4 linked regions of the Lepisosteus oculatus genome follow. The protein of the gene in region 2 binds, or shares a complex with, the protein of the main gene of each other region. Links are inferred from orthologs where the notes say so. Each region holds a gene or a part of one and is shown on either strand. Other genes may lie near its edges.

The links.
Region 1: exosc2 (region 2) and exosc3 share a complex: the UniProt entries of both Homo sapiens proteins name them as parts of the RNA exosome core complex. The link is inferred for Lepisosteus oculatus from reciprocal best matches to the Homo sapiens genes EXOSC2 and EXOSC3.
Region 3: exosc2 (region 2) and exosc4 share a complex: the UniProt entries of both Homo sapiens proteins name them as parts of the RNA exosome core complex. The link is inferred for Lepisosteus oculatus from reciprocal best matches to the Homo sapiens genes EXOSC2 and EXOSC4.
Region 4: exosc2 (region 2) and exosc9 share a complex: the UniProt entries of both Homo sapiens proteins name them as parts of the RNA exosome core complex. The link is inferred for Lepisosteus oculatus from reciprocal best matches to the Homo sapiens genes EXOSC2 and EXOSC9.

Annotation. Positions count from the first base shown.
Region 1 is NC_090696.1:33,368,808-33,376,907, reverse strand, and holds the start of exosc3 (exosome complex component RRP40), read left to right. Parts: upstream 1-4,902; 5' UTR 4,903-4,927; coding exon 4,928-5,140; intron 5,141-6,266; coding exon 6,267-6,416; intron 6,417-8,100. Other genes in the region: probable pancreatic secretory proteinase inhibitor, read left to right, coding at 696-741; myosin heavy chain, clone 203-like, read right to left, coding at 4,835-4,902. UniProt on the Homo sapiens protein: Non-catalytic component of the RNA exosome complex which has 3'->5' exoribonuclease activity and participates in a multitude of cellular RNA processing and degradation events.
Region 2 is NC_090719.1:14,545,612-14,553,728, forward strand, and holds the start of exosc2 (exosome complex component RRP4), read left to right. Parts: upstream 1-4,641; 5' UTR 4,642-4,685; coding exon 4,686-4,807; intron 4,808-5,745; coding exon 5,746-5,847; intron 5,848-6,163; coding exon 6,164-6,209; intron 6,210-7,266; coding exon 7,267-7,356; intron 7,357-7,909; coding exon 7,910-7,975; intron 7,976-8,117. Other genes in the region: prdm12b (PR domain zinc finger protein 12b), read left to right, coding at 326-906. UniProt on the Homo sapiens protein: Non-catalytic component of the RNA exosome complex which has 3'->5' exoribonuclease activity and participates in a multitude of cellular RNA processing and degradation events.
Region 3 is NC_090701.1:28,950,359-28,958,909, forward strand, and holds the start of exosc4 (exosome complex component RRP41), read left to right. Parts: upstream 1-4,943; 5' UTR 4,944-5,127; coding exon 5,128-5,298; intron 5,299-8,551. Other genes in the region: oplah (5-oxoprolinase), read right to left, coding at 345-459, 744-935, 1,161-1,331. UniProt on the Homo sapiens protein: Non-catalytic component of the RNA exosome complex which has 3'->5' exoribonuclease activity and participates in a multitude of cellular RNA processing and degradation events.
Region 4 is NC_090696.1:10,752,735-10,760,495, reverse strand, and holds the start of exosc9 (exosome complex component RRP45), read left to right. Parts: upstream 1-4,252; 5' UTR 4,253-4,326; coding exon 4,327-4,392; intron 4,393-5,748; coding exon 5,749-5,843; intron 5,844-6,833; coding exon 6,834-6,953; intron 6,954-7,761. UniProt on the Homo sapiens protein: Non-catalytic component of the RNA exosome complex which has 3'->5' exoribonuclease activity and participates in a multitude of cellular RNA processing and degradation events.

The sequences.
Region 1 (8,100 bases), on a different chromosome or scaffold from region 2:
TCTCCTTGTTAGGATGTCCGTGCTTCCGTAACACACAGAGATAGAAGATGTCAGAATGCTGTCTATAATGGCTGTGTAGAATCGGACAAGGAGGTGTTGACTGACTCCAAACTTTCCCTTAATTGTCTGAGAAAGTACAATCTCTGATGTGCCTTCATGATGAGATGGTTTGTGTTGATGTGCCATTTTAGAGAGCTACTGTACAGATATAGGTGCCCAGTTCATATGAGTCAGTTATGGCTATTTATTGACCATTGATGGAGATGGGGGATTTGAGATCCTGTGAGTGCCTGAAGTCCACAATTACCTCAAAGGTTTTGGGTGTGTTATAATCAGGTTATATGCATGAAGACATAAGATTAATAGTGCATATAAAATAAAAACAACATTTTTTCATATTTGTTCATTAGTAAGACAAGTCTTCTTCTGGTCAATTTGTAAAAACTATGTATGGACATGTCAACCTTGCTCTTTGGTCATTTGTAACCACCGCAACAATGATGCCTGGATCCAATGTGTGATAAATGTTTAATATAGTGTGTTAATATAGTGTGATATAGGCCACACTGCCTTTCTAAGCACGCATTGTATGTGTAACACTTTTAAAGAATGTGTAAAATAAAGACTAGGTGTGAAATCAGCTGATACACTGTGTTAGCCATATTTATATATGTTTCATGTTCTTGTATCTCCAGGCTGACCAAGGCGGACATCTTAATCGCCAAGGATGGGACATGCTGAGGAATGGTCAGTGTCCTTTCACCTCGAGGAGAAAAACCCTTGTATGTGTCTTGATATTAATACTAATAAAACCCGATTTCTGCATCCTTCCTTTGTGTTTGTGGTGAACTTGGAGGGGTGGGAAGGTGTTGCTTATGAATAGATTTTAAACAATTCGGACTTAAAAATGATCAGCCTCAGAGAATCTACTTGATCCTCTAGTATCTTTTGACCCACATGTGAAAAATTTGATTAAGACATCTTTCTTTCACCTTAGAAACATTTCCCGCATTAGGCAATTTTTATCAATGTCCAATGCTGAGTGCCTGATTCATGCATTCATAACATCAAGGCTTTATTCCTGCAACTCGTTACTATATGGGCTCTCTAACCCTCTTCTTAACAAGTTGCAATGCAGTATGTTAAAAACTTGGCAGCTAGGCTACTAACTCACACCAGGCTCTGGCAGCATACTGTATCACTCCTACACTTAAGTCTTTGCATTGGTTGCCTATACAGTTCCGTATTCAATACAAGATCTTGTTGTTGATTTTGTAGGCTCTAAACAATCTGTCTCCATCGTACCTCTCTGAAATCCTCCATGTTTTCACTCCCCCCCTGTAGACTCCATTCAGTTGAGGCCTGACATTTACTCACTGTCACCAGGACTAAATCACAGACTTTTGGTGACCGTGCCCTATCTGCAGCTACTCCAATGTTGTGGAATGGCCTTCCCCAGACTTTTGCGAGAGACAACATCTTTTAACTCTCTTCAAATCTAAACTTATAACTTACCTTTACTATTAGGTCTATGTCTGATTGCCTACAGTCAGTTTGTAAAAACCTGTGTGCTTTTGTTTTTTTTTCATTTACTTTTATTGTACTTTTCTTGTCTTTTTCTTTATTCATGATGTGCAGCATCCTTTGGATTGGAAAGGCACTTTATAAATAAAAGTTATTATTATCAGTCAATGGTAATAAAAGCCAGGTCTAAATGCACACGAAAAAGGTGATTAATCGATGACTCAAAACTGAAAATCTTTTGGAGTTATAATTGTTGTCTTCAAACCATTAAGCGAAAATGTAAATAAGCATAGAAATCCATTACAATGTGATTTCGTAGCGGCCAAAAAATGTATAGTACCAGTCACTGTGCTACGGAGGAGCTCAGCCAAAACATCTAATGGCAAGACATCGTGAATGTAAATAGAAGATCTTGGATACAGTAGCTTTATAAAAGACTGTCTAATCTGGTAGATATGATCTTTCTAAAATGAAGCGTTTTAGTTTTAAAAGAGTCTCAGGGAAAGACAGTATTAAATAATGCAGCCTTGCAGTCACAAAGAAACTAAACTTTGACCTGCTCTGAACTCATATTTACTTAATACTAAACCTTTTTTAAAATGTACTGTATGTATACCTAATGTAAATTTACAATCATACTTTTTTCTGTTTACTCTTAAATTGCCCAACTCCAATATTACTTCATCGCTGTAACCACTCTTATAAACAGAAAGGAATGAAGCCTCAGGTTTCTGCAGATAAGGGAGTTGTTACATTTACTGCCCTGAATTATCTAGCCAACCTTTTCACACTTTGTTGCTCTCAAACTCCTCTCTTTACCTCCCTGGAACCTGGATCGCTCTGTGATTCAGCTTCAAAGAGGAAAACCTAGCACTGCTATGCTCCAAGACTCTTTTTCGCATTTTTGAAGAAAGTTTCCATTCTGCCTAAAAATCTCTTTGCATTCAACGACCTTTACTGTTGTTTGACTGGATTTTCTCAACAGCTGGAACCTGTTCATTGAGGAAAGCTTAAATGTAGCTACTGTAGGTGTCGAATTCTTTGTGGTCATAGGCCTGTCAGCATCAATAGATCTCATAAACCCATAAGAATAATTACGGATTAGTGAAGGCCATTCAGCCTCTTTAGTAGGGATGGAGTCTTGTGTTGCCCAGGAATCAAACCCAGGCCAATTGACAATTCAGCTTGTCTACACCCAGTTATGAACTGAGGACCTTTTCTGTGTTAGGTGAACATATCCACTACATTATACTCAGCTAAATTATTTAATTCCTTTATTGTCCCATCTGGCATGTTTACACTGCGGGCAGGTACAAGACATAACACAGAACATAGCTTTTTACTAAAGGCCCATGGAGGGCACACCAAGTACTGAACCTTGATCTGTATTGTGGTTTAAGAACGAATGTGGAAAATTTAAAATCATCTTTAGATTTAGAAGTGTAGTGTGTGTGAATTTGATCTTATAGTATAAGGTTTGAGATTAGACACATTTAACTTATATACAAATATGGAGAGAATTGTATTAAGAAGTATTTAAAAGCACAAGCAGAATCCCAAATAATATGTCATTCAATACATATTAGTTGACTTTCAGTTTTAAGCAGTGGATTCAATTGCATGCTATACTCCTTGTTTAACGATAAATCTGAGTGTTCTTATGGTTATAATGATTGTGTTTACATTAGGTACAAATTAGTAACTACATTGTATCTAAACCAAAAGTCGAAAGCGCATGCGTGCACCGTCTGCAGCGTTGAACATTGTCATGAACTCTAAACCCAAAGTTTCAACTGCGCTTCTGTGCGCTGTCATTGCACAATGTATTAGGTTGTTCATACATTCAAAGTATCTTTGGCATATAGTACCTACGAGAACAATTATCGTGTTATGACGAGAAGGTACATTATTAGTACATAGTAAATTATCTCGTAATTACGAGACAACACATGGGATATACCTTTTCCTTGATAACAGGAACGCGCTTTCGTACTGCAGTGCTGTTTTTTGTTTGATACAACAGACGTCGCTGCAGGTCAGGTTTGAATAATCTCAGCCCTCTGGCGCAGATTTCTGAAGTTCTGCGCAGATTTCTGCAGTTCTGCATAGACCTGCTCAGCTCAGCTTTACTCTCTCCTGTGGCTGTATGATGTCAGGCAGCCTGTCCTGGCCGCAGCCAACGAGAAATTGCGGCTGGGAACCAACAGAAAGAGACACTGAGGGTATGAGAGATCTAGCTGTCAGATTCCAAGTGTGCTACACAACTTTTTGGTCCTAACATCAATAACAGCTTGAATCGACTCCAGCAAAAACAAAGAAATAAATAGTTATTCTATGGACGTTGTCATTTATTTTCTAACGCGAACCCGTGTATTCCCATAGAATTCTCACAGGCTTTATTACCAACAGCTATGTCACCCTGCAATTTACAACTCACAACTGGCAACCCACTGAAGCTCAACAGGTTTGAGCCTGGCCAGTAGCTGGTTGGGAGACCTCCTGGGAAAGGTACGGTTACTGCTAGAAGAGCTGTTACTAGTGACACCAGTAGAAGGTGCTCACCCTGAGGTCTGTGAAGGTCCTAACGCCCCCATATAGTGACGGGGGCGCCATACTGTAAGAAATGTGCCGTCCTTGGGATGAGGCGTAAAACCGAGGTCCTGGCTCCCCGTTCTCATTAAAAATCCTAGGGCGTTTCTAGAAAATAGTACAGGTGTTATTTTAACCTGACTAAAGCCCCCCCCGCTTTACCAATCTTTGCTTCCTAATACTCCCCATTTATGAAATAATTGGTGTGTGGTGAGCGTACTGGTGCACTACTGCTGCCGTCGCATCATCCAGGTGGGGCTGCACATTGGTGATGGAGGGGAGTCCCTATTACCTACCTGTATAGGTCTAGTAAAGTACCAAATTAGTGTAATTATCATTATATTTATTATTATTAATATTATTATTATGTATAAGAACAGTTAGTGAGATTCACGGAGTAAGGCAAGTAAGCGTGTGACAACACCAGAATGCGAACAATAGCAATTGTCCCCCGTTTTTTAATTAAAAATTAAAAATGAGTTAACCAACGCATCCGTGGTGTAAAACAGAAATGCTTTACCAGAATGAAAATGAGGAAGAAACCAGAGGACTCCAAATAAACAAGTGGTAAGGCCCTGATATGAATTGTATTTTTTCAAAACTATTCGTTTCACGTGTTCCTTTTTCTTTGACTTGTAGGGAACTTTTCTAATTCCGCAGCACAACAGCTAACTGATGCGTGACGTCACTTAACCAGAGCCGCAGTCGCTGCGCGGAGATCTCAACCGCTTCTTCCGGCAGGGCGCTCTGCGTGCAACACTGTTTCCCCTCCGCCGGAAACGCGTGTTACTGTTGAGATAAAAACACAGAAGCAATGCTGGACAGCTTTAAAGAAAGAGTTGGCGAGGTTTTACTACCTGGCGATGTTTTTTCGTTTGAATCACCAGGTTCCGAAAGTAATATACAAGATAAAGTTATTTGTGGACCCGGGCTGCGCCGTAATGGAGATGAAATCCTTGTTTGCAAAAGTGGCATTTTGCGTCACAAGGAGCCGAATCTGTACTGGATAGATTCCCAGCAAAAACGGGTAAAGAGTGGATATCCATCACAGCAGTTTTTCTGAGCGTAAAATATAATGTTTGGTATAACGTATGAACAACAGAAGTTCACTTGTTTAATTATTTTTAAGTTATTTAAAGAAGTTAATCTATATGAAAATGCTTGCAATCGCCCACGTGGTTGATGTCATTCATGTAGACATTTACACAAGAACAAGAACACATCTCGTTTCTGAGACCAGTATTCACCTGCATATATTGTCAACCTGTTTCTGTCTGCAGTGCGCTTCTTCTGCATAGTCACAAACTACTAATAGCAAAGTTCGATTTACTATTACCTAAAACACGTAGTACATCAGACGGGTCTCTGTTAGGTCTTTTAGATTTGTTTAATCATGCTGATATAATTTAATATTTTACCATATAAGAATGTTATTTGTATATGCTGCTTTAACTAAAGATGATTGCCTGAGGTGTAAAATGCTCTCACAGTACTACTGTGGGCTTTTAACGAGAATGTTTACAGCTGACCTATCTGGTTTAAGATTAAAGATAACCAAATGTGCTAGATGGGGCGAATGGTATTTTTAACCTTTCTTATTTTGAAATATTTCTTCTTGAGTTCAAGACTAGATGTGCTTTGGTTCTTCAGTATCTAGCAGACTGTTACCTCCCCTCCAGGCGGCCTCCTGTCAGCTGATTTCTGGTTTGCTGTGTTTCCACTCTTATTCCACACTCTGGCAAATACGGGGCCCTCTGTTGCTGCACCCCAATACTCCATAACCATCTCAGAATAACCAGGGACTCAGCCACACTGGGTGCTTTTAAATCTATCCTTATTTTCTTCAGTTATTTGGTTGTGATTGAGTTTTTTTCTGATTCTGCCGTGTAATGCTCATTAATTTTACTGTGACACGTGCTTTTTATATTTTACAAGTGCCTTGAGAATATTGCTCTTAAAGGTACTATTTAAAAGGAAAATGACAAATGTTCCCCTGATTTATGAGGGATACAGCTGCATTCAACAGGAGACCAGACATCCATGAGACATCTTCGGACTGATTTGCCCATAAACAGCAGGCTTTGCCCAGGCAAAACAAGTCTGGTGTATTTTACAGATCTGGCATTGTGAGAAATACCTTTTTTATATTTCAGTACGTCCCGGCGAAGGGGGAGTGTGTCATTGGTATTGTGACAGCAAAGTCCGGCGACGTTTTCAAGGTCGACGTTGGCGGAAGTGAACAAGCTTCTCTGTCCTACCTGGCTTTTGAAGGGGCAACGAAACGAAACAGGCCGAATGTTCAGGTACGTGCTCTGTAGTACGAGTACAGGGGCTGTGTGGTAGACTGGACGTTTCTGGGGAGGGGGCAGACTGTGAGGTTACCATATGTAGATGCACTTAGTGATCAAATTGTTCTGTCCGCCGGAGTGCGGGAGTACTACCGCTACCAAGTTAGCTACTGCGTTAAAATGGTTAAAAAGCTACAGTGCACAGGCTTTAAAATCAAAGAAAAAAGACCCAGAGTAATTTGGTTTTAAACTTAAATTACATTTTATGCTAAAAATGTTCCTACAAAAAAATAAATCATACTGACAGGCTTCTCATGGCAGCTAATCTTTATCTGTGTATTACAAAGAAACTGTTTTATGTAGACCATAAAAGCCATGCAGCGTCATATAAATAAATTGCTTGGTTCCGACATTTAACTGGCAGCGTTTGTCTCCTGCAGTACAATGACAGAGACATAACTGCAGAATTTTGTCAGTGCTACTTAAGCAAAGTTGTAGCTCGTTTCTGTGATTAGGCTATAACTCTTCAAACGGGTTTCAGGAAGTTTTTAGTCATTAGTTTTTCTCAAATATAATAGGTTGTCTAGTAATAGGAAACAAAAGTACAATGTTTGAAGCCATTAGAACAAAAATGTGTTGTGGGTGTTCCGAGTCCCAGATGGGAATCTGAGTAGGCGCTGCAGTGTGGGTGAGGTGGGTGCGGGCTCAGAAAGCAGCCGTCACACCATACCTTTTGGGAGCAGCTGGACTACTCCCTACACCACCAGTTCTTCTATCGTGACCAGCTCTTGGGCTGTGTAATTCCAGGTTCTTGTCTACTATAGAAGAAGGAAGAAGGAGTAGAATGTCCATGTCTCGCTGTGTCTTATTTCAACCCTAAAGGCAATTTAAAACCCCCAAATCTGTTTTTGTGGATATGCCATTATATATTACCATCACGAGCTACAGTTATCTTAGGTCACACCTTCTGTAGTAGGGGTTCCCAACTTCATTTCAGCTTTGCTCTATTACATAATTAGACCCCTGACTTCAATCTTTTGGTTTCAATTCCTAAGCACGTTGGAGGTTGCCTTTCAACTGCTGTGTTTCGCAAGTAGCATAAGATCTCCAGCTTCCGAGTCGAAAAAGAGAACTTTCTGTAAAGCACTTTTAAAGGCGCTATGTAAGTTGATTCATTCAGTTGTTTGCAATCTAATGAAGCATCATCCTAGCTGAAGTGAAGATCTCAGTTTGAGTGTAATCCAGCCTGTGCGTGGGACCAAAGATGTTTTCGTTCCGAGTTGTAAAGCTATTCTGGAAATGGAGTAAATTTTATTGAAATAAAAAATGTCAATTGAATATATTCTGTTCATATTAAAGATTTGAGTTGTGGTGCATACAAAAATAAAGCTTGAACAGCAGAACGTTATAATGCTATTGTTCATTTTGAAAGCAGGCATCAACTCGGGGAGAGTTAGATCAAGGGTTCGGTAACAGATGTTTAACTTAGACAATTGAAATGTTTTAGGTATTAATAGAATCTTCCTCAAAATAGGTTTGGTAATACATTTTTTCTGTTTGAGCTAAATGTTCAGTATAAAATAGCTGGAGAAGACTATTAGCTTAATTGCCTTAATTTTACATTTACAGTTCTTACATTATAGAAAAGGATGTTTGCTTTTGGATGCTTTGTGAATCACATTATCTAAATCTGTGTTAG
Region 2 (8,117 bases):
GATGCTATCTAGTCAAATCCCTTTGTCTTTGGGGCCATAGATTTCTGAGATACTGTGATTAAGCCTTTTAATCGCGAGGTGCTTTTCTTCTTGTTTTGAGCAAAGGGCATTCCCGTAGCATTCCCCCAGTCGTGTATTCAAAGATGTCTGTGAGGCGGTGTTGCCTACTTGAACCCCGCTTTTTGAAGCGTTAATGCTACGTTATTCCGAAATTAAGTCCCAGCGGCGGACTTTTAAGTCACATGGGTGCATGGTATGGCCAGTTTAGTTTCTTTTGTGGTGTTATACAATCTGCGCCACGATGACACTCCTAACCGCTACACAGCTCTAGAGGACGCCGCCGCTGTGCTCGATCGCAAGCTGCGTCAGAGGAGTCTGGATTTAGCAGGAGCCCTCTCACACGACGGTGCGATTAACGGCTGGGCGCCCGTTTCTCCCCTTGCAGACGATTTCCACCTGTGTGACGGCTCCTCCTCGTCCGCCTCCTCTTCCTCCTCCTCCTCCGCCTCCTCCTCCTCCTCGTCCTCCGCCGCCTCCAGCCGCATGCGCTGCGTCATCTGCCACCGCGGCTTCAACTCCCGCAGCAACCTGCGGTCGCACATGCGGATCCACACGCTGGACAAGCCCTTCGTCTGCCGCTTCTGCAACCGGCGCTTCAGCCAGTCCTCCACGCTGCGCAACCACGTCCGGCTCCACACGGGCGAGCGCCCCTACAAGTGCCACGTGTGCCAGAGCGCCTACTCGCAGCTGGCCGGGCTCCGGGCGCACCAGAAGAGCGCCCGGCACCGGCCCTCCGGCACCGGGGCCGTGGTCTCGCTGCAGGCCCACTCGCCCCCGCCGCCGCAGATGCCCCCCGTGCCTCACCCGGTGTCCCTGGCGCACCACATCCCCACCATGGTCCTGTGATGGCGGGGAGCCTGGGGACCCAGAGAAACAGGTCGCGAACCCCGGCGACACGCGGAGGCTTCGCTTTCTCCCGGCCTCCGCGTCGCCCTGGCCCCGCGTCTCGGTCGCACATGACCACGTTTTAACCTTGTGCGCATTGGCAGAAAGGGAAAGTAAACGCAAGCTCACCCGAAGGCCGGGCAGTGCTACGCGGCGGATGTGAACGCGGACAAGAGGCAGCTCCGAGAGACTCACGGACCGGCACGTTATTTCAGCGATGAGACCTCTCGCCGCCACCTGTAATCGTTGACTAGACGCGAGGAGTTCGGTTTCGCGCTGCCGCAAGCTTTGCGCATCAGCTTAAAGCGGACTTTTGAAAAACAGTAGTCGATTTAAGCACCGGTACAATTAATGGCAGGGGGGTGCGCTGTGCCTGAATTTTTTTCTCCCATGCTTTAGAAAGTGACAGCTGTGCTAAATACAGTATGTATGAAGGATTAGATGTTAGCTAAATTGCTCTCCTCTCTTTTGGAAACACAATGGAACCTGTCTATATGTCTTAACAAGAAAACTTTTTATAAAAACAACTGTCAGTCAAATTATGGATTGCAGTAGGTATGTCAAAGACATACTGTTTCTTAGAATACCTTGGGTATAAATGGGAAAATTGGTGGTATACTTCTTGTATACAAAATGTGCTACATTGTGTGAGAAAACAATGCTGTTTTGTTTAATGCATCCGGTTCTCTAGATCTTGTTCAGAATATGTTACTGTTTTAAAACAACACACACATTATAAGAACTTCTTCTATACCATAATGGTTACTGAAAAGATGAGAAATGACACACAGTGTTCGGCGAGCTGATGTGGTTTAAGTTTGTATTCAAACTGTTCTGATGGATGTTATCGTTCTCCGATGGCTCTCAGCTGCGATGCTCCTTTGCTTTTGTGTGGCTTGGTGCGCCCCTAGTGTCTCCACACCTGTATGAAACCCTTCCTGTACGGGAGAAAAAGAATCGTAAGAAACAGAAGATGTATATAAAATGATTAAAATATATATGAAATGTAAATATAATTTTAAAACTGTGCTATACTTCCACTAAATAGTCACTTTATGTATGTACATATTTATGTAAAACAGTATTTACAACACTTTGGTATTATATATTAATAGTATATGTATGCAGATGTAAATAACTTTGTACTTTTCATCTTGCATTCTAAATAAACTACTACATGCATAATTTTGTGTTCATGAAACACCCATGATTATTTCAATCTTTTTTTTTTAACATTCAGGTAAGTATTATTACTGTAACTCTTCAAAACCACCAATATGCACTCATTGCAGAACTCCTCTAAACATTTTCAGTGTTGGCTTATTGAAGCGCTAAGAGAAGATTATGAGCCAGGAAAGTAAGAAGATATGAAAGATGACAAAAGAAGCTGAGAGATTTGGCTCATCTGGTTCGTTTGGTTTCCAGTAGCTAATTATTGGAGGATCTCCTTCGGTTGTTTCTGAAAAGAACCCAGGGAGTTTGATATACCTGGGTAGCTTGTTCCATGCTTCTGCAACTGTTTGTGTATAGAGATGCCTCCTGTTCTCAGTCCCAATTGCACTTTCCTGTTGATTCCACTTGTGCCCTCTGTCTTATATTTCTTATGTTTATGTTTCAATCTGAACATGTCAGGTGTAGTCTTCACTTTTCAAGACTAAAAGGGTCCAGATCCTTCAGCCTGTCAGTGTAGTCATTTTAAGCTTGGTCCATGACAGGGCACACACACACACACGGAGAAAACCCATGCACACACGGGGAGAACATACAAGCTCCCCACAGACATCTCTCCAGGAACTCAACCCAAGTCTTCACTGCTGCAAGGCTGCAATGCTAATACTGACCCACCATGCCCTCCTAATCTTGATCCTGGTATTTGGATATTTTTCTCTGGATTGATTGCCAAACAGTAAAAACCTTTTCTCTCAGTGTTGTGATCGAAATCGAACACCGTAATCTAAACGTGGTCTTAGCAGTGCATTGTACCACTATATTTGATATGTGGTATATCGCCCTTTGCTTTTATATTGTCTTCTCATATTGCGTAGAGACCTGTGAAAATGTTATTCTTTTCTTGTCAAGGTCAACACAAACACAAGTCTCAAGGAATTCATTGAAGTGTCGATTAAAACTTAAAAACGGTTTCAAAACTCTTTCAAACTATCACAGAAAGACATCAGAAACCCAGATTATCCTGAAATTAGGATCACACCTTCTCCTTCTCTCACCGACAGACTCGTTTCCTTCCAGTCCTCTCTATTCATTTGCAGGCTTTGACTTCACACCTCTCTCGACTTTGCCCATCTTGGGCAGTGATACTGCTTCTCTCCTGCTCTTGCCTCCTGTCCACTCCCAGCTTCATCTCCTGCTGGCTTTCCTCTGTCCACCACACTAGAGGAAGGCACCACAGCCGAAACTTCACAGCATTGACTAAACCTTTACTTGTTCCTTTGCAGCCTACACATGCTGACGCCGCTGCCTATTTAAGACTTTAGATAATAATAATAATAATTAATAATAATAATAATACTTCTACTACTACTAATAATAATTGCTTACACTTATATACTTATAATAATAATCAGAATTGCTCAGACATGTAGGCCGACACCTTAGTATTTGGTATCATGTGAGTTTCACACAGTAAGCAAAATGTAACGTCCCATATAAAACAAAGAATATCATTCCTGGTAAATGAAACAGATACAATTATTATTCCAAAAAAATGTCCTTCCAAACTCACTTACGTTTCCCTAAGTGTCCACTAGAGGAGGCAGTAAATTCGCGATACTTTTTGTATTAATGGAATTGCTGGGATCTGTTATAATAATAATTAGTTATATTTATATAGCGCTGTTCTGGACACTCCACTCAAAAGCACTTTACAGGTAATGGGGATCCCCTCCACCCCCACCAGTGTGCAGCCCCACCTGGATGATGCACCAGTACGCTCCCCACACACCAGCTCTCAGTGGGGAGGAGAGCAGAGTGATGGAGCCAGTTCAGAGATGGGGATTATTAGGAGACCGTGACTGGTAAAGGCCAGGGGGAAATTTGGGGCCAGGACGCCGGGGTTACACCCCTATTCTTTTCGAGAAACGCCCTGGGATTTCTAATGACCACAGAGAGTCAGGACCTCGGTTTTTCGTTTCATCCGAAGGACCGCGCCTTTCTACAGTATAGTGTCCCCGTCACTATACTGGGGCATTAGGACCCACATGGACAGCGGGGTGAGCGCCCCCTGGTGGCCCCACTAACACCTCTTCCAGCAGCAATCCTAGTTTTTCCCGAGGAGGTGTTCTATCCAGGTACTGACCAGGCTCACCTGCTGAGCTTCAGTGGGGCTGCCCGTTGTGAGCTGCAGGCGAGAATTATTTTTTATTGTTATTATTTTTCCCTGACTTGTTGTTTTCTATACAGTGATCTATATAGATATAACTCACGTTATTAAATAAATATCTTGAATCAGTGAACAAGAAGATTCAGTTTTCAAGTTTATAATTCAGAAGTGATTTACTCAATTTCGCTGTTTTATTCTAACATCGACGTGTATTTGTAGATTTCTTTATTCACTCGAGTACGTAAAAAACTTACATAATACGTCCAGGTGATTAATTCATTAAAAGTTTATTGTGATGTAGTGCTGCACTGCATTTCGGTGCCCGGAGAGCGATGACGTCAACAATAAGCGCCGTGACGTGATCGAACAGAGCCGCGACCGTGTGCACACAGAGGAATTGAAGATGGCTGTTGATATCAGACTACCTAGTGGACGTAAACGGGTGACAGATTCTTTATCTGCAATCGAAGAAAAACATCTTGTAGCTCCAGGAGATGTCATTACTACAGACACTGGTTTCATGAGGTATTTGAAGGTTTTGTAATATTTTCCAGACTGTTCGCAGAGGCCTTTGTGAAGTTGATGTCTACGTACACGTGTATTCTCTGCAAAATAACAGGAATAAAGTTTGTTGTGTTAATTTTCGCCGAAATGTATGCAGATCTGTTTGAGTTAGTTTCTGCCTTGACCATACCTTTCAGCTGAATGAAAGCTGAGCAGTTAGGGTTGACATTACCTTTCTTTAATGTTGTCAGTGGGTTTAAGAGCATTTTAAGTAGCGCTGGCAGATTGACTGTTTTTTGGTTTTGAAAAACGGTCACCTAGGGTGGAGGAGATAAAAAACAGATGAAACCCTTAAACCTCATGTAAAGATTGGATTAACGAGCGGAGAAAACGCTATCTGGTTTAATGTAGAGGATTTCTCGCTTGTTGTTGTACACTCGTCCGGCAGATGTCGCTGATAAAACAACGGTGGAACGTTTCGAGTGTGCCGTTTAGTGTGGACTACGGTAGCTCAGTGAGATTAGAGATTGGGGTTTTATGTGCTGTTTCACATTGACTAGTTGTGCTCGGGATCCTTTACCTCCCTTAACTTCATCCTGAAATGTGGGAAGAGCTGTCGTGCGGTCCTGACGCAGCGTCGTTCACCAACAACACGGATCACAAGACGTTCCTCGGTGTAGGCGTTTGAAAGCAACCGTAGTATTGGTAAAATATTTTACATGTTCTCTCTCTTGGTGCTCCAGTCTCCTCCCACAGTTCAAAGACATGCTGGTAGGTGAGTTGGTGTCTAGTACGACTGTCCCTGGTGTGAGTGGGCATATGTTTGTGTCTGTGTGCCCTGTGAAGATCTGGTGTCCTGTCCTGGGTGTACCCTGCCTCTGCACTTCCGCATCCCTGAACTGGATGAAACAGATGGAAAAAAGGATTGATCTCTGAGTCTGCGCTCTGTCTCCCTGCAGGGGACATGGCACCTACATGGACGAAGAGAAGCTGACCGCCTCGGTGGCTGGAGAGGTGGAGAGGGTCAACAAGCTGATCTGTGTGAGACCCCTCAAGACGAGGTGAGCCCCGCCGGAGCGCCACGCCCGCGGTTTCTTAGGAGGGCGTGCTGCCGTCTTCGTGCCTTAGCTCTGGCGCGTGTCGGCGAGTTCGTGTCCGCAGACGACTCAAGACGTGGCCGCGGACATCTCCTTGGTGACCGTGAGCTTCACCTCCCTCCCCGGCTGGGGGCTGCGTGATGAAACGAGTGTTTTTCCAATCTGTGGTGGGGGCAGGGTCCAGATAAAGGGCGGCCTGGAACCCACCTGGTGCGTTCGCCAGCTCTTCTAGGCTCTAGGCAGAAACCCTTCCCTGTGTGCGTCTCGTCTTTGTGCCCAGGTTCAACGGCGAAGTCGGGGACGTGGTCGTCGGCCGGGTCACTGAGGTACGTGGCGGCGAGAGAAGGTGGGGTGTGCTGTGGTGAGCGGTGCTGGTGCACAGGAGCGCACAAGTGTGCACGGGTCCGTTTCACTCGCAGATCTTCCGCCGAATCGGTGGTCAACAAGCCGTCGGTGAGTAAGTTAATCTCGTGTCGAACGGACGCTTTATTGCAAAAAAAAGCCCGACGGGATAAAGGACAGGATGGTAGTGTGCCGAACAGGGCGATGCCCGCCATTTGCTTTGATCACCACTGCAGTTGTAGAAGGAATACCTTCCATAGCACGCCGGGGAGCCATTCAAATGAATACTGCGCCTTTCTTTTGCAGCTTCTGCTGTCCATAGTCTCTTCCTTATTTGCTCTTCTGGGTCTCATTTCTAAAGGCCATTTGGTAGGTTTTAGTTCAGGGCTGCAAGAAAGCTGTAATGTATTTTCATCACTCCTCTTTTTAAATCGCCATTATGTGATGCATCATCATGCATTCCGTCAGTACTGGGAGTCTAGTGCTGTCATGGTGCCCCTGGCTTTTACAGAAACCCATGTGCACAGACCTAACGATGGACTCCCATACCACCACACTGCAGCCTCCATGCTGAATAGTCAAAGTTATGAAGCACCTTAGACAGTCATCACTCGCAGATTTCTCCCATCGGAAGCAGGCGGCATGCAGTGGGACTCATTCTAAAAAACAGGCCCATCTGAATCACTGCCGTGCTTTCTGTGCGTTCCCATGCAAGACTGTAGCCTCGTGTGCGGATTCCTTGTCGCAGCAGCAGTTCTGTATGGACTTTAGGCATTCTCGCAACTTAATTTCAGCAGCTGGCCGTAACGGGAGCGCAGTGACTTTCCACTCACTCTCTTCGGAGCAGTGCAGGAAGACCTATTCAGAGGCCTTTTGCAGTAGTGTGCCTTGTATTGGCATTTAGAGTTGATTTTGTTCTTAAAGCGACTCGGCTAGTTAATCCCAGAAGTCTCGGAGGTTCCTGGGGTGACCTAGGGGCTGGGGTGTTCTGGGCGGAGATCAGCCCCACGGGGAGTAACGTCCGCCTGCCGGTCTCTGCAGGTTCAGCAGAAGCGGTGGAAGGTGGAGACGAACTCCCGGCTGGACTCCGTGCTGCTGCTGTCTTCAGTGAACCTCCCCGGGGGAGAGCTGGTAAGGCCAGGCGGCTGCCCCCAGCAGGAAGAGCGCCGGGGACTTGGCATGTCTCTGTCGCTGTGCAGGACTTGCCAGGAGATTGTTTTGTGGGAAAAAATACAATTTCCCTGGGAGTTTTACTATGCTACGGGCAGACAACAGAGATCGGTGTTGAATCCAAAAAGATGGGACACCAAGAGACCCAAGAGAGGTGTGGATGTACATGGCCTGCAGTTTTAATCTGCAGACCCACAGACCGAGCAGCAGATTTAAGTGGAAACCGGTGCAGCTCGGTGTGATCACACAGCAAGCAGAGGTAACGGGCTTGTATGGGTTACTGCTAAACCCTGGGCGAAGTACAACCTGCCCTACCCCTGTAGTGCTTGCATCACATTGTGCTGAGCTGACTGGGAATGATTGTCGCCGATGTCTGTTCATATACTCTGGAAATCTGCCACAAATGTACACAGGCTGCACTCTTCTGCAGCTGAGCTATTCAGGGGCACTGTAAAATATGAAATTAGCCTCCATGTGTGAAGGGAATGAGGCCTAACTGTTGGGTGTTTTTCAGAGAAGGAGATCGGCAGAAGATGAGCTGACCATGAGAGACTACCTGCAAGAAGGAGACCTGATCAGTGTATCCTTTCTTCTTCGGGAAATATAAGTAGCGCTGCAGGTGGGATGAAGTGATCGAGCCCGGCTTTGCCATCTGGTTGTGAGTGGAGAGGATCAGTACTCCCAGGCACGCGGTTACACTGTGTCCGCAGAGCAACGTGACC
Region 3 (8,551 bases), on a different chromosome or scaffold from region 2:
GTCAGGACTTGCCTTGCGTCAGTGTGTTGGTGTGTGTACCTGTTGTATCTCAACGTGTTGGTGTAGTTGTGTTGATGTGTCACCTTGTCTCCTTCTCAGTGTGTCAGTGCTTTTGACAGCATCAGTATGCCAGTGTCAGTGTGTGTGCAACAAAGGTTTGTTTTGCAAGTACACAGTGGTGGTATGTCAGTATTTGTGATGATGTGTCAGTGGGCCGGTATCTGTGTCGGGGAGACTGCAATAGTGTCAGTGTATCAGTTACTGTGATAGTGGGTCACTGGGGCAGCACCTATGATGGAGGATCATAGGGTCAGGTCTTTGATTACGGCTCACTGGGTCAGTACCTGTGACGGTGTGCTCTGGTGCTCTTTTGGGCAGCTCGCAGCCCTTTTGTTTCAGCACCACCCTCTCGTCCACCTCGATCACCTCCTCATACAGCATCTCTGCCATCTGTACCTCCTTCAAGACAACAAACAGCATCACATGTAGTCACACTCATCTTCAGGCAACAAGATCCAGATATTGCCATCTCTTTATTGTAGAGATCTTTGGATAAAAATGCCATTCATTTAAATTAGTTATATTAAATTTGAATTAGATCTAGAAACAGCCATGATAAATAACACCTGAATCACTCTAAATTTGGAAGCTGAGGCGATCCAAAGCAATGTCTGCTTTTGAAGTGACAGGTGGTTCACACACAGCATCACCAGAGAAGAAAGTAGACTCAGTGTGGGGCTGACCAGGTCAAACAGCGCAGGTCGGGCCTGGGTCCCAATGTGCAGCAGGTCTCGGAAGCCACGGGTGATCAGGAGGGCAGTCCTCTCGCCCCGCCTCTCCAGCAACGCATTGGTTGCCACTGTCGTCCCCATCCGGATCCAGCCAATCAGAGAAGGATCTAAGGGCTCATCTCGGGGGAATGCCCGCCCAGTCTCCTGGGTTATGGGGAGACAGATACACCAGGTGACCAGCCAAGAAAGCAGACAGACACAATCAAGACACATGCCAGAGGTCATAGAGATTATTAGGACAGAATAGAATTCCCAGTTCCTCACTCCCCCCACCCTCTTTTTCTGACACTATTCCTTCTGCTTCTACCCCTTCATTTATTGACTCCCTCTCCACCATCCAACCATCTCCCGTTCTCCCCTGTCCCTCACCTCCTCCAGAATTCGGCGAATGCCCTCAGTCGGGGCGTCACGGTAATTCTGGGGGTCATGTGAGAGGAGCTTGAGGACTCGCTCCCGGCCTCCGGGCAAGCGGGCATACACGTCCGTGAAGGTGCCACCCCGATCGATTGCAAAGTCAAACTTCTCCAGCACGGCCGCCATGCTGAGGGAGAAGAGGAAAATCGAGGAGAGACGGCAATGAAGGGACCGATTGTATGTAAAATAAGCAAGACAGCTGAGTATACAGATATTGTTGTGGCCAAGGGAAGAAATGTATAAAGTGGTAAAATATTGAGGTAAAAATAATAATAATAATAATAATAATAATAATAATAATAATAATAATAATAATTGCTTACACTTATATAGCGCTTTTCTGGACACTCCACTCAAAGCGCTTTACAGGTAATGGGGACTCCCCTACACCACCACCAATGTGCAGCATCCACCTGGATGATGCGACGGCAGCTATAATGCGCCAGGATGCTCACCACACATCAGCTATGAGTGGGGAGGAGAGCAGAGTAATGAAGCCAATTCATAAAGGGGATTATTAGGAGGCCATGATTGGTAAGGGCCAATGGGAAATTTGGCCAGGACGCCGGGGTTACACCCCTACCCTTTTCGAGAAACGCCCTGGGATTTTTAATGACCACAGAGAGTCAGGACCTCTGTTTTACATCTCATACAAAGGACGGCGCCTGTTTACAGTATAGTGTCCCCATTACTCTACTGGGGCATTAGGACCCACATGGACTACAGAGTGAGCGCCCCCTGCTGGCCTCACTAACACCTCTTCCAAAGTTTTAAAGTTTCCTTCAATTCAGAAAGGTCCTTCACTGATACTAGACAATACTTTGTTATTGGGTGAAGTATTTTTCACAATATGCCCATAAATACTGGTCAACACAGGCAGACCTGGCTGCCTAGAGAGGACAGGCTGTTTTCCCACTGTCAGCAGGACAGAGACAGAGATGCACTTTCTGCTGTAGTGCACGACATACTCTGGTATCAGATAAAGATACCTCCTTAAAATAACAAGTTTAATTTCCATTCCTGCTAGAATCACAACAGTTTCCAATCCAACTGCGGGAGAGGATTAGAAAACAAATATAGAGCTGGAAGCCCAGTAGAAGATCAACTATCACAGACTCAGAAACGAAGATCGAGCTTCCCAAATAATATTTTTTTGTTGTTGTAGATGACTGAACATGCCTTTGAACTTGTTATTGCTTTGGCAATTTCATAATTGGTTGGTCATGCCAATAAAGCTCATTGAAACTGAATTTGAATAATTGCAATGGACTATACTGCCCAGCCACACAGTATAGAAAGATACCCCGGGATCTTAGACACATCAGCCTGGCCCTGTAATGAGATGACCTACAAGTTTAATTCTGTAGCTTTTTACTCCAGGACAGGACAATATTTATTCATTGTTTGAAAGCAACTGTACATTTTTAAGGGTAAAAATTTAGCAACAGAGTATTCTAGCAATACTGTGGAAAAGAAAAAACAAAATTGATGCCTTCTCTTACACAGGGTTTTGAAAGATATGGTATTTGTATTTGTATTTGAATGCTCAAAAAAGGGACAACAAAGAACTTGGTCCCGCAAGTTTAGTTTTTCATAGTGCCCACAGATGCATACTACTGTTACTGCAATAGCCAAATCCACATGAACAGAGATTAGAAGCCCAGTACTTGCTATGGCAAACTGTTCTCAACAGTTATCAGTTAAAGCTTTGTGAAAAAAGGTTAATGTGTAACATTACACTTATAGGTAACTACAAAAGTGTTTTTTAGAGTTTGCACATAGAGTAGATAACATTCCCTTTCTATGTTAGATGACATGGGCATTAACTCAGCCTCATAGCTCTTGGGTCCTGAGTTCCATTCAGGCCTGATGTGCTTTCTCCATGGAGTGTCCATGGTCCTGTGTCTATTCTGGTTTCCTCACACCTTCCAAGCATATACTGGTAGGGTTACCTAGTGTGCCTGTTTGGTTACCTAGTGAGTGTGTGTCCTGTGATGGACTAAGTGATTTTTTTTAGATTACATGCACTGCAGGAATCAGTCAGTAAGTTCTCAGAATACTGTTTTTTCAGTGGTTTTACTGGTTTTTCTTCCAGCTTGTACTTCTGTCTTGAGCCATGTGCTACTAATAACAGCCCTAGATTGCCACAGCTACTATCAGGAATACATGACTTTCTGCATTAGATTAAATGACATTCCTTTTTAAATGTCTCTGTAAGAAGTTCTGCATTTCTTTCACTGCCGAACTGTTGAACCTGTGTTGTATAGTTCTGGATCCTGTATTACTCTACTATGCATGTACACTCTAATGCATAACATATGCAAATCTCCCAGTCTTTCCCAGCAATGTGCCTTGGAACTCCTGACACTTCTCAGACACTGTCCAGAGGGACCCCAGAAACAAATGTAAAAACTTCACCCCAAAAACCAGTAGCTTCATATAACACCCTCAAATATTCTACAGCAGCTGTCCTACTACATATCACATCAGGTGGACCAGGCTATATTAAAGTGTTAAGATAACACCTCAATTATCTTAACATTTGCTCTTAGATCTTTAACACACACAGATGTTTTGTTTATTTCTCACCACAAGGATAGCATACCTTACAGCAGTGTCCCTGGACACCAATGTGAGGCACTGGTTTGGAAATTCTGGTGCACAGTCCCCCCTGCTGGTCCACAACCATTCACAGCAGCAGCCTGGCTTTCCTTGGAGGTCTCCTATCCCAGTACTGACCATGTCTATGCCTTCTAAGCTCTGCGATTTGACAGTTTTGCCAGTTACCCCTGGTCCAAGATTGGACTGCCATTTTTTTTTTACATTGTGTATCTTTCCCGATATCTCAACCGTGAAGAAAAGTAACATTCTTGACTTGTTGCTTAATTTCAAAGTAAATTCTACTACTTTTTTATTTCTAAACAGTATACAATTAAGTTAAAATTAGTGATAAAGAAAGATACATCGTTAACGTTGACAACATCACTGCCAGTTTCCAGTTTATCAGTTTTCTCTGCTTTGCGCCGTACGCAGATTGTACCCAGTCAAGTCAGACTTACATCGAGACAAGCACTGAACACGAAGTATGAGTCTGGCTCCAACACGGTCTGACGTCTCGCAGTCTCGGTGTGATTTTCTGATGAAATCGAGGTTGTTGAACAGTGGAGTGCAGTGAGATCTCCTTTACCTGCTTTGTTGACACCAAACTGTACCTGTCTGCTTTACGTTGACCTCGGGGACTAACTAAGCTCCTTCTTACACCTCCACAAGCTACCTCTCTCTCTCTCTTGCCACAGAAAAGATCTTATCCAGACTGCTCTGGGAGAATGCATGAGACCTGGCCGGCCAGCCAATCAATTCCCGAGCCCCGTTCCTCCTCTCGGCTTTGTTATTAAAACGCTGTATCTGCGCTTTCAAGCTTGCAAGAAACTTTGGGTTCAAAAGACAACGTTATCATGCATGGTGGGTCACTGACACCCCCAGGATGTGAGGAGTTTCGAACGTCTTTAATATCCCCGAGGGGCAAACTGTTTAACGTATTAACCTGATTTGCTTATTTTACTGTAAACATTTTTCTTTGTCGTTCAAAATGCATTTAAAAAGTATTTGCATCTTCTATATGTTGTGTAATATAAGCGTCACAAGCTAAAAGTAAAAATGTTTAATTTTAATGTTTTTAATTGAGAGACTCAAACAAAAACGTGTTTAATGGGACATCACGAAGGGCAAACATGAAATCCCAAAAATGCGGAACATTACTGACAAGGATTTTATAATGAATATGCAATACACTACGTAAGACAAGGAAGATGACGAACAAGATGACAATATATAGAGCGACGGCAAAACAGAAGGATTGTGGGTATAGTAGTTTTTTTTTTATTTGACGGGCTGTATCACTTTCGCACATGAGTTTTGAAACATGGCCGGGTTAGAGTTGCTGTCCGATCAGGGATACCGGCTGGATGGGAGGAAGCCTTCCGAGCTCCGCAAGGTGCAAGCCCGCATGGGGGTCTTCGCGCAAGGCGATGGGTCTGCCTACATCGAGCAGGGGAACACCAAGGCGCTCGCGGTAGTGTACGGACCGCATGAGGTGAGTCTCCTGGCAGGCAGGGAAAGTAGCCGGGCCCGGGGTGTGTGTAGAGTAGGCAGCCTACTGCCTTTCAATGACTGGCATTAATTTCATAGAGGATGATCGTAACGTTCGAAGCTCCTTTGTGAAAGTGATTTATCATTTTTGATTAATCCGATCGACGTTGCCGTTGATGCACAGAGGAAGTTACATGCAACGTCAGGGGTATGCTCGAGACGATTCAATCTGAAAGCTGTACAGTTAGGTTGACCGTATACAGTTTGTTCACATGGACTATTTCAGTAAGAATAAGACCTGCTCTTTGAACGAGATTACGTTCACTTTTTTAGTTACGTAATGCAACCTTCTTAAATTAACCACAGACGAAGTTATTTTAAATATGAATTCGTTAGTTGCTGTTTCAGTTCTGCATATACTATGCATATGCTATCAGTCTATTTTCTAAACACTTTATGCAATACAGTGTTGCAGAATGGCCTGAACCTATCTCGGCAAGCAACAGGAGCAAGGCAAAGTACACCCTGGAATGGATACCAATCCATCCCAGGATGCACACAACACACACACACAGGACCGATTTTTTCTGGACAGTTGGAGGAAACCCACAAGAGGCTGATTGGAGAACATTCAAACTCCACACAGAGATGAATCCAGGAATTGAACCCAGGGCCCCAGTGCTGCAAGGCAGCAATACAACCACTCTGTTACTGTGCTGCCCATGCATATCCTAATATGATCCAGGTAGCTTTTTAGGTTTTATAAATAAGCCATCTACAAAACCTACCTGTAGTGAATTCTCACTTTCATTGATCAGTGGGTTTAACAGCTGATGGGTGTTGTGAGTTATTAACCACCAGTATGTATCTCTGCAACATTTTCATCTTAATTTGCATATGAATTATTTTTAGTTTCAGGCAATTTTAAAAACTTATAGATGGGCTGAGCAGTGGCTCTGTGGCTAAGGACCTGTGCCTGTTGCTGGACGGTTGCTGGTTCAAATCCTGAAGCCCCCAGAGGAATCCTACTCCATTGGGCCCCTGAGCAAGGCCCTTAACCCAGCTGCTCCAGGGGGGCTGTACAATGGCTCACCCTGCGCTCTGACCCCAAGCTTCTCTCCCTGTCTGTTTGTCTGTGTCTCATGGAGAGCAAGCTGGGGTATGCAAAAAGACGAATTCCTAATGCAAGAAACTGTACAGGGCTAATTAAGTGATGTTTTGTTACACTGTCTGAAAGTATGCTTGGGAATACAGTTATATGGAAACTGTACAGTATAAACATGTATAAGTGATCTCTGTGAGCAGCTGGAACTCTAGGTAATTTATTATCTTGTCGAGGGTAAGGTCATATTATCCAGTAGGCACAGCAGGTACTCTACCTAGGGCACAGGAAAACTAAAAAGCCTGTGAAAAATGTTTTGACCATTTTTCTATATCTATGATAACAACTATAACAAAGATCCCTCCTTGAATATATATATATAGAAATTATAGGCTATCTGAAAAAGCATTGGAGATGATGCTGAGAAACATCTGTGAAACTGAGCTATAGGGCCTGACTGAGGTTAAATACACACAGACAGTGGCACAGCAGTCTGTGCTTCTGCACAAATGGCACCTCAAGTCACCATTGCCTGTGAAGCAATGAACAAGAACCACATCGTGATGGAATTTAAGTTCTTTGATAAATTGCCTTGTTGCTGAGCACTTGAACGTAGAACAGTGAAACAGCTGTGTGGGTACTCACATGGAAGTATGCCACTGTATACGTAGAACATCCAGACCTTCTGCAGACAAGACTGACCAGTCCATTAGGAAAAATATCACAGGGGTTTCACTAGTGGTGGCTGTGTGAAATGATCTGCAATTGAATGTAACATTAGCACTTTGCAAGCAAGGTTTAAAATGCAGTACAAAGACATTAGAGACGTCTGGTTATGCTTTTGGCAGAGGCAGGAAAGGGAGCGGACAGTACAGAGCAATACAGTGCACAGGAGGTAGTGGGAGATCTGCAGATCAGGTATCCTGTAGTGTCGTCTGATCTGCAGAAATGTTAGCCTTCCAGATTCCGAACAGTGAAGAGCTTAGCAGGTGTCCCTGGGTCTCTCATAGCTTGTGCAGTGCCACTGAGGTAATGATACAGTATTAGGCTGACCTCATAAAATATGAATGATTCTTTCGCCTTTTAAACTTCAGAGTTACATTAAAATAAGCCACTGTTTATTTATTTCTGTGTTTTGTGCTGTTCTCTGCTCCAGTGCTTGTTATAGTACTCAAGGTCTGCTGTACGGTGCTCTGGCGATTAGTTATGAAAAGTTATCAGTTATGAATTGCCAGCAGCCATATCACCCCGCAATTCACAACTGGCAACCAACTGAAGCTAAGCAGGTGTCAGCCTGGTCTGTACCTGGATGGGAGACCTCCTGGAAAAAACGGAAGGTCGTTGCTGGAAGAGGTATTAAGGTATTAGAGGGGCCAGTAGGAGGTGCTCACTTTGCGGTGTGTGTGGGTCCTAATGCCCCAGTATAGTGATGGGGACACTACTGTGGGGAAAAAAGGCACTATCCTTCGGATGAGGCATAAAACAAAGGTCCTGACTCTCTGTGGTTGTTAAAAATCCTAGGGTGTTTTTAGAAAAGAATAGGGGTTCCCCAGCATCCTGGCCAAGTTTCCTATTGGCCTTTAGCAGTCATGGCCTCCTAATAATCCCCATTTATGAATTGGCTTTGTCACTGTTCTGGCGCACTATGGCTGCTGTCACATCATCCAGGTGGATGCTGCACATTGGTGGTGATGGAGGGGTGTCCCCATTACCTGTTAAGTGCTTTGAGTGGAGTGTCCAGAAAAGCGCTATATAAGTGTAAGCAATTATTATTACTTGTGTGGTGTTGTGGCTGGATTAAACTGTGCCTTGTCAGCTCTTGGTACTTGAGGATCCCCCAGACATGGTTGGAAAATGATCACCTTGGAGAACAATGTGACATTTGTGCCTTTCCATGACCAACTAGGATACGTCAAGCACTGTGCACTCTCACATTCTCGGGAAGTCTGTTACTTGTTAGGAAAAATTATCCCAGCTTGGCTAGATCAGTGGTTCAGGAGTCGCTTGGGGTTGGATGGAGATGGTAGGATTTGAGCAGATGCACTTACAGGATGATTACTGTGTCTCAGGCTCCCTTAGAGATTGAGCTTTGCCGGAAGACCAATCTGCTATGAAAAAAGAAGTTGTAATTGTGTATTTGATCAACGCACAGGGG
Region 4 (7,761 bases), on a different chromosome or scaffold from region 2:
GGTAGTGGTAGGTCCTATTCAGCGTCTTTGGAGTCTACTTCAATGGGCGTGTATCCTGCCCTCCAGCTCTTTGAGTGGCACTGCTCCACCAGGTCTTTGTATCTCTAGCAAGAATACTACATTGGCAGCCTGATTCGATTCTTCCTAATCCTCAAAGGCTCTGACAGACTCAGTCCTTTGGATTCTTGAACCAACTGGCTGCTAATTACCAAATGGGATAGATGGCCTTATTTTGTAACCTTTCAATTTGTCATTTTGGATTCTTTTACCACTTACCAACAAACCTTGTCTGAAACACAGAAACAATACAAATACCGACAGCCATCTTTGTGCTGAATCCAGTAAATAACCATATGATCATTTCAGTTTTGAGCCATGGTACTCATGAGGACACCACATTGTTGGTAATCATTAATTCATATGCAGCTGCCAGATGAAGCCCGGAAATTACAGCTATAAAACCAATTTCAATAGTTTTTACATGGTGCTATCAATATTTATGGCTCCCTCTGCAGGGATCTCATGACCATTATTACATATTGTTTTCCCCAAGGATTCAACAGCAAGCAAAACCTTTGTTGTGCAACGGAGGGTACTAATTATGAAAGCCCAATATGTGTTGTACTCAATCTGGAAGTCTCCCATGGGTGAATTAAATTATAACAGTGCTCAAGGTCAAGGTCCTCACTGTGCTACTGTTAACAGAAGAGATGACCTTCCTTAACGCCTGTTTGAACACAATCTTTCAAACTGGGGGGAAATGGAGGCAGCTGGAAAAAAGTGCTAGGTCTGTGCCAAGTGAATGTTTGCAGTCTCTTTTTTAATTATTCAAAGCCTTTGGCACACCATTTAAATGACAAGAATCCTGCTCAGAGGAAACCAAAATAAACTCACTGCTCCTTTTTGCATGTAAAAACAAGTTTACCTTCATAGTGCTGCCTGCTTAGCAGTAGATGATATTTCTCTTTTTTCTTCTTAATAAATGTCTCATAAAGATCCAGGTGTATGAAAATGGATTTCCTTCAAAGGCAAGGAATAGTTGGTAAGACCATCCTCACACTGGGATTAAGGTGCTTGTACAGAAGAAGTAATAACTAAACAGTGTATAAACAAACATCCATTCATTTTCTAATCTGTTTATCCAATTCTGGGTCTTCGGAGAGGTGACTCCTATCCCACCAGGCACAGGGCAGGATACACACTGGTGGGACGCTAGTTTATTGCAGGACACACACAGACACACACACTCACACCAGAGTCAATTTTCCCAGAAGCCTATTAACCCAGTGTGTCTTTGGACTACTGAATGGGAGCACTTGGTGGAAGCCCATGCAAACACAGGCAGAACAGACAAACTCCACACAGACAGCACTCTAGGAATTGAACCCAGAGCCCCAGCAATGCTAACCACTGCAGCACTATGCTGGTCTAAACAAACATGTCCTTCAGATCTTTCCACTCCAGAGCTGAGAAAAACATGTACTTTTTTCAAATGCCATTTAAAAACGTAGTTACCCAAAGTCTGATTAAATGCTTCAGATTGCTTTGCTTGCACCTCACACACAGTGACATTTCTGTATTTCCCATCACACATGGCTGAACCTGCCCAGAAGATTTTCTTCTTCCACACTGAAGCAACTCAGTTTTTTCACTTGATAGTGATCATCACTGGCGATTATGGGACACATACACTGTGTGCCAGGCTTTATAATTCCTCTGACCGCGTATATCAATTACTTTAAATTGGATTTTCCTTAAAATTTAAGCCTAAACATTTTTAATTCAGTTAATTTGAAATGATGACTTTCAGTGAGGTAATGTGGCAGCTATCCTAAAATACTTTGAGTTAAATTAACTACCAAAACTCATAAAGACTGCAGTGGCATGATATTCTTTTCTAATCAAGAGATCACTATGTCAGACAGCACACTACAACTCCTACAATAGGACTGTTTTAATATTAGATATATAGAAACAGATAATGTTTTCTATTGATCAAAGTGAAGTATACAATATTTAAAAAACTGGTCAAAACACTGACAATCCAAGACTCTACTCTGTATTTCATTACATTTTGTCTGACTGATAACACTGGTCTGTAAAGCAGGAGGCTACAGCAAACACCAAATAATAACAATAACAGCATTTTCTTATTACTTTGTGCATTCACATGTATGTAACTGTAAAGCTAAACTGTAAAGTTCATTTCTGAACGGATACATCATCCTTTAAAAAATGATTTGTTTTATTATGTGCTCAATCATTTCTTTCACACAAATGTGAGGCTCCATGGCTGAAACATTGTGTCACACCTGAAGAAGGCTCCATGGCCAAAATGTTGTGTTTCTTTTCTTCTTTTTAGCATGGAATAAACCTTTACTTCCTCCTTTACAGCCCACGCATGCTGACACAGGTACTGTCATACTTGAGTTATGGAGGCAGTCAGAATGCTCTCTATAATGGCTCTGTAAAACTGTATTAGAATTAGTTGAGAGATACCCAAGATTTCAGCTGGTGCAAAAAGTACATTCTCTGCTCTGCTTCTTTCTGATACTGGTGATATTCATGTCCCATTTAAGGGTATTTAGAGTTCATAATTCCCAAAAAGTTCACCACAGACACCCACGTCATTGATTACCAGGAATTACCAGGGAGAGAGGCTTTCGAGAATGTTTCTAGAAATCAACCATTTCTACTCTTTTAAGGGTATTAAGCTCTGGGTACTTGCTACAGCACCATGATACCTACTAATCCAGACCTCCTGTACATAGCCTCATCATCATTAGTGATGAGACCTACAAGGGTGATGTCATCTGCAAACTTATTTAGTTTGACAGAAGAGTCGCTGGAAATGCACTTGCTGGTGTACAACAAATAGAGCAATGGGGAAGGCACACGTCCTTGAGGACCCCCTGTATTCACATACCTACACAGCCCTTGCCTTCTATTCAGGGAGAAAGATGAAGATCCACTGGAAAGGGGAACATTCAACTATTGCAATTTATTGTCATTCTGGAATGATAGTAATAAATGCAGAACTAAAAGCCTCAAAAAGAATGCTTGCATACACACCTGAGAGTTCTAGATGATGCAAAATGTAGTGAAGACCCATGGTAGCAGCATCATCACTGACCTGTGGGCCCTAAATGCAAACTGTAGAGGATCAAGATGTGAATCTGTAACAGTTTTGAGACAGCAAAGTATCATGCGTTTGAAAGTCTTCATTATGACAGACGTAAGAGCAACTGGTCTGTAGTCATTTAGACAAGTTATTTTGTCCTTCTTTAGTACAGGAACATAATGGAGGATTTAGAGCAGTTTGATAATTAGTGGAGCAAATCCAAAAACACGTACCTCAGGTTTGGCTGGTTATTTTAAATTTCCAAGTTTCATGAGCTTTTCAGAAAGTTATCGTGTGTCTCGAAGTTTAAGGACACAAAATGCACTAATATAAGGACAACATAATGATTCAGCCCAAAAACATTTTGACAGGTAGACAAAACGGCTGACACACAGAAGACGGATGACAATTGAAATTATTTTCTGCAGCTGTTTTAATGTCCCTTTCAAACATCTCAGGTACTACCTCACGTTAAATTTTATAAAAGCTCTGGGAAAATTGAACTACGCATTTGGTATTAAGTGTACGGACAACTGTATACGATTACAACTTCCTACTTCTGAATTCTAAAATAATAAATAAAAAATCGAACTGCATTTGTGGTTTAAACAGACGCTGTTTTTTTTAAAACGTTTTAATGGTAGTAGATGAAGAATTTAGTATTTAAAATTCCGTGACTGTGTATCATACGGATCACTGCATTGGCAGCGGAAGACTGCTGGCTATTTGACGCCACACTGTGCTTTAAGCAAACAATGACATTCAGTGAAACCAGACTACATTTACGGAGGGAGGTTACATCTCATAGATGTCAGACAAAACTATTTCTATTAAAATAGGTGACTGAATTTATTCGAGGCCCTCCTTGACTTTGTACTAGCGATCTCCCGCAGCTACCTTTTATTAAAGGCACGTTTTTAACGGAAAATGTGCACGCTGAAATGGCAACGTGACGCCAAGAAAGCAGCTGTCAAATAAGTCAAAGTTGAGAACAGTGGCGTAAAATCAAAGATATATAAGGTACAAAGAAATCTATACAGTATTTAATATAGTATAGTGTCTTACAACCGAAACGCATTTCACATTCACGTGACTTCACATTGACGTCGCATCATGTGTGTCGTCATCCGTCTGCGCCTAGTGCATGTCGTGAGGGGAAACAGAGAGTCCATGTGTAGTAGTTACAGGTTCTGCAGAAATTCAGAATGAGGGAAACGCCGCTGTCCAATTGTGAACGACAGTTCCTCCTGACAGCCATAAAAGAGAAAAAGGTATGATTATAATTTAGAGCTTTAGTTAACTTGAACAAATCTGCCAAGAAGAATGGGCAAGATTGTTGTGCATAGTTAAAGACTTAACCAGAGACGTGTGACAGTAATTTCAGCTAAATGTGTTTTTTAGGAAATATTGAGATCAGGGTTTTGAATACTCACGCAATCAACATATTTCATTTTTTTCTCTTAAGTAACTTACCCTTAGGAGTCTTCACTTTGTGCATTCGATTTCTTAAAAAAGTGCATAGTTTTGTGATTTCCCAAAGTGAGACACCCTAGGACGCGTCGAAATACTTTTAAACAAGTAAGCAGACCATTAAAGTCATCGGTTAGCTCTGGAGATTTAGAGCTCAGCGGGAATGAAACCCGGCAGAGGTACAGGGTTGTGACCTATTGATATTGTTGTTAGTTTTCGAAGGTGTTAGTTACTGGGACATTTCTTAGGCCTGCATTAATATTGAGGTGGTAGTGGTTAAATCTCTGGATTCCTGACAGGTTTGCGTGCCGCGGCAGTACTCTTGAACATGACGATTATATCCAGAGTGCACCAGCAGATCCAGCTGTATAAATAGGTCCCAAAATGTGAATGTAAAAAGAGGTAATCTCTTGTAAATCAGCAAAAAATTATATCTGCAAAAAAACTACATAATCTGAAATATTTGTTAATATCTGAAATTATTTTTGTGCATAATTTATTATTTATATAATTTTGCATTTTGTTGCTTATTAAATACATTAGCTCCTGAGTCAATCTTCAGTATGATGTTCAGTTCATTTCTAAGGCTCTTCAGTAAATATGACACATTCATTTGTAGATAGAAACTAATTTAAAAAACCTCGTCATGTCCACTTTGTAACCATACTGTTCCTTCTAGATTCCTAATTGTGAACATTTTAGATTCATTTGGTGATTTTAAATGTTCTGTTAAAAAATACACTTTCATGCTGTTTTTCTTCTTATTGTTACTCTCTTAATATACCTGACATCTGAATATATCTGATAAAACACTGTAAAATCAAGGGGAAAAAAGAACATGCTTATTGTTACAAGTTTAATTGATAAACAATATATATGGAAATAATCTCTTTGTTTACAACACTACCATTCAATATATAAAGATATGAAACTGAGAAAGGCGTACAAGAATAAAATAATATTTGTTGGCTCTGTAAAACAAAATTGAAAATGATTTTTTATTTAGTCCATTATTCTAGTTTTTGAGATAATGTGAGATGTATTTTAACATGAGCCTGTGTTTAGTTCTAACGGTGTGGTATATATGATCTATATAACTCAATAAAGTTTTGGAACTTTGAAATAAATATCACATTTTTTTTTTTTTTTTGTTTCAGCGCCTAGATGGAAGACAAACGTATGATTACAGAAATATCAAGATCACCTTTGGTACACAGTATGGATGTTGCATTGTTGACCTTGGAAAAACAAGGTAAACGTTTGTCTAATCCACAATTAATGAGAGATTAATTAAGAGTTTTAATGAAAGATAAGAAATCTTGTTGAATGCTTAATTCTCAGCAAGTCAAATTAAATGTGATCTCAGGCACATTGGTGTTTAAATTTGAACATTTATGCCTGCATTGCTCCATTCCCTGCTATCTGCACTTTTTTCACCAATTCTGTGTTAATAATTAATACGAATGTATTTCTGACAGTTTGTCTTCTTTTTTAAGGAGAAGAGAGTAAAGTACATGTATTCATAGTTTGATTTGTGTTTGAATGGATTTTGTAAGTATTGTGTAAATGAACCAGAACATCTCTTTATGATGCTGAGTGTGAAAAGTACAGCAGCAGTTCTCAAACTCTCTTGGAAAACTATTCACCTGAATTGTAAGGATAGCACACATTGTAGGATAGCAGCAGACATTTTATTGCTGTTAAAAGGAGCTGTTTCCATACCTTTGCTACTTCAGTAGCAGTTACAAATGTGAAACTTTAAGTCTTTAGGTGGTTTTATAATGAGAGGAATTTGTTTGTTTCACAGGACAAAGTTTAAAGGGTGAAATTTTGGTTATTTCAGCCAAAGGTCTAGTTCTACATTTACTTTTGTCCTGTAGTTGTTTTTTGTTGATATCATTGCTGAAAAATCTATCTCTCACAGATCAGGTATGTACAATGAAAGTGTAATGTCCCACATCAATTTCCCTACGGGATTCATAAAGTATTATCTATCTAATGTTCTTTGGTATATCTTGTTATCTTGTGATTACCTTGTTAATTTAACACAGCACTTAATTGCTTGTGAAAAATACTTTATCACTTACTTTTTGTGAAGCTCTCCTGTCCAACTGTGATTTTTACCTGTAGTAATCCAGTTAGGAATTTACTGAAGAATTTTTGCATCCTTTTGAGTGAAAAGACAAATTCATAATGAAAGACACTGTATATGGCTAATAAAGTGATCTTATCTTATTTTCAGAGTGTTGGCTCAAGTTTCCTGTGAACTTGTCGCTCCGAAAGAAAATCGCCCAACAGAAGGAATTCTCTTTTTCAACCTGGAGCTATCACAGATGGCTTCCCCTGCTTTTGAACCTAGCAGGTATAATTCCCAGCTACTCTTCAAATATAATTTTAATAAGGAATTAAATTCAGACAAATAACAAAGGATGCCAAATTTAAACAAAACAGTGTGGCTTTTTTAAAGAAAAAAGTTAGGAAACCCATGTTATTTTGAAACTCAGTAAAATAGTGAGTGTCACTGTCTTATCTGTGTGCCTTTCATTTTGGATGTACTCTGTTGTTACTGTATGCTGTATATTATTCTTGTCTTAGACCTACAATACTACACATAATTAATCAACACACATCCCACATATCAAACTAGTTAGAGCTGCAATGCATTAAAAAGAAATGTAATGCACTTTAGTGTGTTATAGTTATATGTACTGATATATTACTGTGGAACTAGAATGTGCTAATTTTGCAGTAGATATTATAATAATAATAATAATAATAATAATAATAATAATAATAATAATAATTGCTTACACTTATAAAGCACTTTTCTGGACACTCCTCTCAAAGTGCTTTAAAGGTAATGGGGACTCCCCTCCACCACCACCAATGTGCAGCCCCACCTGGATGATGCGACGGCAGCCATAGTGCGCCAGAACGCTCACCACACATCAGCTATCAGTGGGGAGGAGAGCAGAGTAATGAAGCCAGTCCATAGATGGGGATTATTAGGAGGCCATGATTGGTAAGGGCCAATGGGAAATTTGGCCAGGAGGCCGTGGTTACACCCCTACTCGAAAAGAAAAGCCCTGGGATTTTTAATGACCACAGAGAGTCAGGACCTCAGTTTTACGTCTAATCCAAAGGGTGGTGTGTTTTTACAGTATCCGTGT